Linked DNA regions of Danio rerio. The protein of the gene in region 1 purifies or fractionates together with the protein of each later gene. This does not show direct contact. Links are inferred from orthologs where the notes say so. Each region holds a gene or a part of one and is shown on either strand. Other genes may lie near its edges. The genes, in order: rapgef2b and magi1b.

The links.
Region 2: the proteins of rapgef2b (region 1) and magi1b purify together in Homo sapiens (co-immunoprecipitation; 3 studies listed by BioGRID and IntAct, with this or other methods). This does not show direct contact. The link is inferred for Danio rerio from reciprocal best matches to the Homo sapiens genes RAPGEF2 and MAGI1.

Annotation. Positions count from the first base shown.
Region 1 is NC_133189.1:52,681,935-52,685,862, forward strand, and holds the start of rapgef2b (rap guanine nucleotide exchange factor 2), read right to left. Parts: upstream 2,915-3,928; 5' UTR 2,385-2,914; coding exon 2,316-2,384; intron 1-2,315. UniProt on the Homo sapiens protein: Functions as a guanine nucleotide exchange factor (GEF), which activates Rap and Ras family of small GTPases by exchanging bound GDP for free GTP in a cAMP-dependent manner.
Region 2 is NC_133186.1:21,133,617-21,137,444, reverse strand, and holds part of magi1b (membrane-associated guanylate kinase, WW and PDZ domain-containing protein 1b), read right to left. Parts: intron 3,595-3,828; coding exon 3,409-3,594; intron 3,321-3,408; coding exon 2,685-3,320; intron 1-2,684. UniProt on the Homo sapiens protein: Plays a role in coupling actin fibers to cell junctions in endothelial cells, via its interaction with AMOTL2 and CDH5. May regulate acid-induced ASIC3 currents by modulating its expression at the cell surface.

The DNA.
Region 1 (3,928 bases):
ATGACATATAGCCTATATTTCTGAGGTAATCTGCCATGTTTTTTAACTGTGCAGAGTTGTTGAAACTTGTATTATTGTCGGCTAACGTTAGTGAAAGAGTCGTTCGGGGGATTCATTCACAAACGAATTGCTCCTCCGTCAGTATGAGAAGTGAAAGCAGGAGAGGAGGTGTGTTTCAGGACACGGATTATATTAAATTTAACAGGGAGGGTGAAAAGTACATTTCGGTACACACAAACACAAGCTTCTTGTCAGGAATGCCCGTGCGGTCACTGATCCATCAATGTAGAAAAGTGATGTAAAATTATAATTTTCGTAATTAGAAACAAAAAAAGAATTACACACTAACATCCAGGAAAACTCCTGATCATAGATATATGTGTATATGTGTATATCTCTGGCTTTGGATGGCCACAGTCCTCCACTGTACCTTGGTCCCGCATTCATTTCAAAGGAGCGCTACCCTGTAGCAAGATGGCGGCGCTATTGACGCATTCCGTCCAATAGACAACAATAGGCCAGGCGACATCTAATGTATATCTATGGGAATCATCTGCAGCAGACCTTAAAGCTCAACACTTTTATTCCACTATCATCCTTTAAAAATTAAATCCAGTTAATAGTACAAGATAACAGTGCTTGTTTTTAGTTTTTTTTTTTATATATATATTATTATCTGCATTAGTGAAATTGTTATTGTATTGTGTCACTGCTGCTTAGTATCTACGTTTTATGTTGCCTCTTGGCCAGGTCGTCATTGTAAATGAGAACTGGTTCTCAAATGACTCACCTGGTTAAATAAAGGTTATTAAATTTGGTTTTGAAAATAATCAAGCATAGGTCTATTTATTATTTTATATAAATATATATTTGATATTATCTATTATATAAAAATCAAAACCTACAGTCATAAATAAACACAACGGAGCAAAGATTAAGTGACATCATTTGTGGTTTTCTGGGGAGCCTAACAGTTTTCAGGTAAATTAATTGAAGAATTAAATGTAAAATAACAATAAATAGGTCTTCATCATTTAAATTACAAAAAAATAATCTTTATTAGTTACAAACCGTACAATTTCTTGTGCCTGAATGCTTTAAACGATCTTAAAAACCCTCACACAGTTTCAGGAATGAATAAAGATGCACACAAATGACAAACTTTCAACATATTATGGTTAAATTCTGCAGTGGCTCTACAAATCTCTTCTGGTCAATTATAATCCCAACTCAACATTGCATATTCTCCGATGTGACTATTGTGAACATACACATTGTGATATCAATGCTGAATCAATATATTCTGCAGCCCTATCTCCAACTGCATTGATTTTAATAGCTGAATGAATAAATCCCCAAATTATTCACAGAAATGCTTCACTCTGCTCATTTGAGAAGTAACTGAATTGATTATTATAACTAAAATATAACTTAAATTATTACATTTGGTTTTAAAACCAGCGCAATCTGCATCAGTTCATTCAGAATCGCTCACTTAAACGATTCATTCAAACTCCGACTCGTTCACACACAATAAACAATGATTCTATTATATGAGAATGACCTCAAATGCACTTTAAACATAGACCCTATTCGGTTATTTAAGGTAAAAAGCACACAATCTGGATCAAAATGACCGTAAGCTGATATAAAACAGGAGGTAAAATCTAATTATCCAGATGTACAATAGAAGAATCATTTGTCTTCCTTTATGTCTGACAAAGCAGCCTGTCACTTTAAGAAAGCGACTCACTAGGATCGAATCGTTATCTTAGTTTCTCCAAATGATCCCAAACTAACATAAATAACACAAACTAAAATGCAAATTCATCTCGACTTTTACATATATCAATATCCTCACAGCAAAGTAATAATAAGATAATGTTCCTCTCTCGCCGACTGAGCCCACCAAAGGGTGGAGACTATAACGTTACAGCAAATGTCATAGCAACGTCTTCCAAATCATAGGCTAACCGCACAAAAATGCTGTGCTAAACATATAAACCTTCCTATATTCAACATTTAAGTCATGTTAAACTATTTCCCATGAAAACAAAGCGTGTTTAGTTGTGAACGATGCTAAGTTTACATTCATGTTGATGTTAATAGACTCCAAAAACATTGAAGATAACATTAACGCGAATATCTTATAAGCTTATTAGGACAATTGAATTCAGATACGCGTGTAAAGTAGCATAACTACAGCACTGTCAACACTATAAGGGTACATTAATTTCCTCCACATGACACACAGCAGAAACCCAGCGTATACTGTAACAGTTAACAGCCACATAATAAATGATTTAAAGACTGACCTGTTGCGTCCTGTCTGACGGATTCACCATCACCGCCTGCCGAAAACTGTTATCCACATAGGACGCCATGCTCCTGGATAATCCACAGCCGATCTCTCACGCAAGTGGTTTGTTTATGAAGGGGGCACAAACCCAGTTTTTATTTCTCGGAAGCTGCAGAGAGAGCTTGTCTTGTCCCCAGGCCACAGCCTGAGCCAGGAGCTTTCTTAATGTCCCTCGACCCGATCCCACAGGCACCAGACCGGCTGCTTTTTCCTCTTCCAGCCGCTGGAGCTTCTCCAACCGGACGCTGAGAGGAGATTTTTAAGCAGTGAGTTTTAGCTCTGTTTTACGCAGACGAGTGCATTTCTCAGCATTCCGTTTGTCCCCTGTTCGCTATTCCATCTTCAGTTTTCCATCCTAAAACAATGTCCATTGCACGCGCTTTGGCGAGTGTCCATTTTAAGTGATTTCCAAAGCAGCGGAGAGTGAAAAGCAGCATTTATACTGAGTGTTTCAGTGTCTAGAAGCGACGGATGGTCTGCTGTCTGTCTGGGCTTGCTGTTGTAAAAGCCGCCGCCACCACCATGGTGACCGACCGAGCGCCTCAAGAGGTTCATGGGCGAGTCCATTCAGCACAATGCTTGTAATGCGCCCTCAGTGCGCTTTACTCACAACACGTGGAGTTTTGGCGACATCCGCTGGACGATGGTGGAATTGCAGCTTTGAAGAAAAGGTTATACTGTATTATTGCTCAATGGTTAGCTCTGTCGCCTGACAGCAAGAATGACGCTGGTTCAAGTCCCAGTTGGCATTTCTGTGTGGAGTTAGCATGTTCTCGCTGTGCTGGTGTGGGTTTCCTTCGGGAGCTCCGGTTTCAGTTCAAAGACATGCGCTATAGGTGAATTGAATAAACTAAATTGGCCAAATTGTATGGGTATGAATGAGTGTGTATGGATGTTTCCCAGTGATGGGTTGCAGCTGGAAGGTGTTTACACACTGTGTAAAACATATGCCGAATAAGGTGGTACATTCTGCTCTGGCCACCCTTGATGAATAAATTGACTAAGCCCAAGGAAAATGAATGAATGTTGCTTTTACAGTCGTCCTGAATAAAGATCATTATTATTGTTATGTCTCAGAACGGTTAAACCAGTCCTGTTTAAAACTCAATGTAAACAAAACAGTTGCAATGTACCTTTCTAAAACAAACATAGCAAATAATCTAACAGATGTCGACGTGGCTGGGGACAAAATATATCAGGGCTCAACAATAAGGACTGCCCGATGGCCCGGGGCCAGCTTGAGAGACACTCAGGACAGTAGACAAGATCATTAATCAGGGGCTGCCACAGTGGAATGAACCACCAATTTATCCAGCATATGTTTTACACAGCCGTTCTAACTGCAACCCAGTACGGGGAAACACCATACATACTCATTCACACATACACTATGGCAAATTTAGTTTATTCAATTCCCCTATAGCGCATCTCTTTGGACTGTGGGGGAAACCCACGCCAACACAGGGAAAACATGCAAACTCCACACAGAAATGCCAGCTGAACCAGCTGGGACTCGAACCAGTGACTTCTTGCTGTGAGGCGACAGTGCTAACCACTGAGCCACCGTGT
Region 2 (3,828 bases), on another chromosome or scaffold:
TGAGATTTGTGTGTGCAAACTCTTGAAACTTTTTAAAAGAGTCAAATGAGTATATTCAGTGTTTTCTCTCATTTCACGCATTTGCATTTCTCTATTCCTCTTTCATCTCTTTCTTTTAGTCTCTTTTGCAAGCCAAAAACAGGTAACCTTGACATTTCTATCTTTTTTCCAACCATAAAATTCAAGACAGACAGAGAAACCAGTGTGGAAGTGTCATATGGGGGTTAACAGACAGCTGAGTTAGGTCCTCAAGGGAAAAGAAAGAGCCATAGGCTTCATATTTATGATCGGCACAGAGCATCTTAGTCTGGACACTTTCCTGTCATTCACTCTTCATCTCAACTGCATGAACTTTCATTCATGAACACTAACTGAACAGCCACATGTGTTAGTCTTTAATCGGGCTGCTTTCTGTTTATATTTCTTTCTCTACACTCAACCATAAAGGTCTGCACAGAGCCAGGCCAACACTGAAGGATGCTGTTCACATTCCAAGGTGTAGCATGCAGATGAAAACAACAGTAAAGTGAGGAAAAAAATGTGAGAAAGGAGCTTACAGCATGTAAGAGCAAAAATATGAAGCCAATCAGTGACATCTTAGGCCGTACTCACACTATGTACAGTTGCCTTAAACCGGGCCAAAGCACGCTTGTCCCCCCTCCCGTCTCCCCGACGGCCCGTAGTCACATTACATTCGGGCCTGGACACGATTACGTCATCGATGCTGCACTAGTGAGTAAGCGCCCTTGCTCAGCGCAGTGGACATTTCTTTAGTTATATCGATTGAGATGCAGTGACACAGTCAAATATTTCGCCAAACAGATCTGCCACTTTTGACGCTCATAAATAACCATAAAGTCCTCGTGCTGCAGGAATTAGTAGGTTGCTGTAGGTGCGCAGGTGTCGTGTAGTGAAGTGTTTTCGTCTTTAATGATCTATGACACTTTTCTTTCATTGAACAGTAAGAATTATTAATAAATCCATATGAAACGGCCCCTAAAAGTTATGTCTCTCTTTCAGTTTCGGGCTTAGGCACATTTTGCACTCACACACAAGCGTACCACGCCAAACCCAAGTGAACTGCGCCCAATTCAGTGCACTTACACTTCTCAAATGATCCGGGAAACGGGCCTGGGCACGGTTCGTATAGCATAGTGTGAATACGCCCTTAGTGACTTCTAAACCAACCAGCCAACCAACCACAATTTGTTCTTTTATGGGATAAAACCTTAAAGAAAAATGTTATAAAATATAATAAACTAACAGAAATTCATTCATTGGTTCACTTTCCTTTTAGCTTAGTCCTTTTATTAATCTGGAGTTACCACAGCGGAATGAACTGCCAACTTATCCAGCATGTGTTTTACGCAGCAGATGCCCTTCCAAACTGAAAGTTAATGTGTCAGTATGATTTTTTTGTATATATATTTTTAGTAAGGATGTTACTTTGATCAAAAATGACATCAAATCATATAACGTGAGGGAGATTTACATATATATTTTAGAATTTTTATATTTAGTTTTCATATTCATTAATTTTTTTTTTAGACTTAGCCTTTATTATTCTGGGGTCACCATAGCGGAATGAACCGCTAACTTATCCAGCATATGTTTTTTTTTTTGCAGCGGATGCCCTTCCAGCTGCAACTCAACACTGGGAAACACCCATACACACTCTCACACACACTACGGCCAATTCAGTTTATTCAATTCACATGTACCGCATGTCTTTGGACTGTGGGGGAAACTGGAACACCCAGAGGAAACCCACGCGAACACGGGGAGAACATACAAACTCCACACAGAAATGCCAACTGACCCAGCTGGGGCTCGAACCAGCGACCTTCTTGCCTTGAATATTTATATTTATTATATTATATAATTAGTAAAAATACTTGTAATATAATATAATAAATTATAAAATATTGGTAATAAAATAAAAACTATACTCTTAAAGATGGTTACACTAGACTTTAAGCACACAGAATATTGACAGACGCTCTAATGTTGTCACACTATTTGGCACATTTCCTAAATTAAACCAATTTAAAATATGTAATATATTCTCTAGATATAAATTTAGATTTGTTTTATCCAGCAAATCTAACCTTATATCTACCGAATTGCAGAAAAGTGTAATATATTAGTAGAAGCATTTATAAAGATCGACTATTGTCCAGGTCAACAAGACAAAAATTTGCCAGTTGGAGTTTACAAAACATGAACTTTGGAATGTTGTGAAATTTGAAAGTGTTTCCCTCCCTACTCAGTTCATTCAGGATGAAGGTAACTCTTTTCCTCAGCAGAACATTTAAAAGATTTTTAGCTCAAACCTTGGTCCCTGGTGTTTCATAAAATGGAAGTAAATGGCTACCGGCACTTTCAGAATGAATAAATGAAAAACAGACAAAACAAATTAAATAATAGTGATTCTGAAAGTGTTGTAGTCAATGATTTGTATTTAAAGAAAAACCAAGCCACCAGGTTCAAGACAAAAACCTTTTATTAATGCTCTACTGTAAGTCACCTGGATCTTGTCTGACCTGAGGATAAGTAAATCAACAGCAAATTAGCATTTTTCCATGCAAGCAACCGTTTTTTTTTTTGTTTTTGTTTTTTTTTTAATGCTTTTGGATTTCCTTTCTCACTTTTCCTTTCATGTCATAACATTTTGGTGAGCTTACCTCGTTGCACCAACATGGTCACTTCACTGCCTTTAGGACACTTGCTGAGCAGGTCGACCACCTGATTGTGCGTCAGGTTCTGCACGTTCCTCTTGTTCACCTCCATGATGATGTCACCTTCCCTCAGGCCTCTGCATCGTGGGTAATCCACTATCTGCTTTACTCGCTGGCCTCCTCCAGACGGGCTGTCTGCTATTGTGAAGCCGAATCCCTTGTCGCCTTTTTCCATGTGGACAGTAATAAGCTCGGGCTGGGTGGCGATCGAGGACGCCAAAGTCACCACATCACTGGGATAACCATGAGAGCCATTGGAAGCCACCTCTGCTGAAGGGCTATGGGGGCGAGGAGGATCACTGGAGCCATTTAAGCTACTGCCTCCAGCTGTAGTTTCGCTCCCGTGGCTGGATGGTGAGTCGTAGCTTTCTTTTCCATTGACAATGATTGGCTCCTTGTCCAGAATGGCCACTGAAGTCACCAGGCTGGTGTTGGGGTCATCAGGGTCAAAGGGCAAAGGGTAGCCACGGCAGAGTTCAAGGTCGACCATAGAGCCAATAGGGATTGACTGGAAGATCTTCACAACTTGGGCGTGTGTGTAACCCAAAACGCAAGTGTCGTTCACACTTACAATAACATCACCTGAGGGAGAAAAAAAAAACTTGCGATGAGCAAAGTACAAAGATTAGACTACATCACGCGTTTATGAGTTCATGGTTTTCAGATGTACCTGTTTCCATCTTTCCGTCAAGGGCAGCGGGTCCATCGAGCACAAGACTCTTAATCTGCAAGAACTCATCGGGTTCATCTCCTCCTACTACAGTGAAGCCGAACCCACGCCTGCTCTTCTTGAGCTTGGTGTTAATAAATGTCCCCTTCAGTTCTGCAGGGTTCCTTGTGAAAAATGGCTTACCTCCTGCAATGAGAAAAGCGATGCACAACTAGTGAGCTATGGCAATCGGCAACGGTAAATCTGTTGGCCCCTGTGTAGAAGATTATTATGTATACCTTTGAGTATTAGGACACAGCAAATCTTGAGAATATTTTGTTTCAAGAAAAAGCTGTGCAGCAAAGTTAACTTCACGAGCACACTTTCTATCTATCTATCTATCTATCTATCTATCTATCTATCTATCTATCTATCTATCTA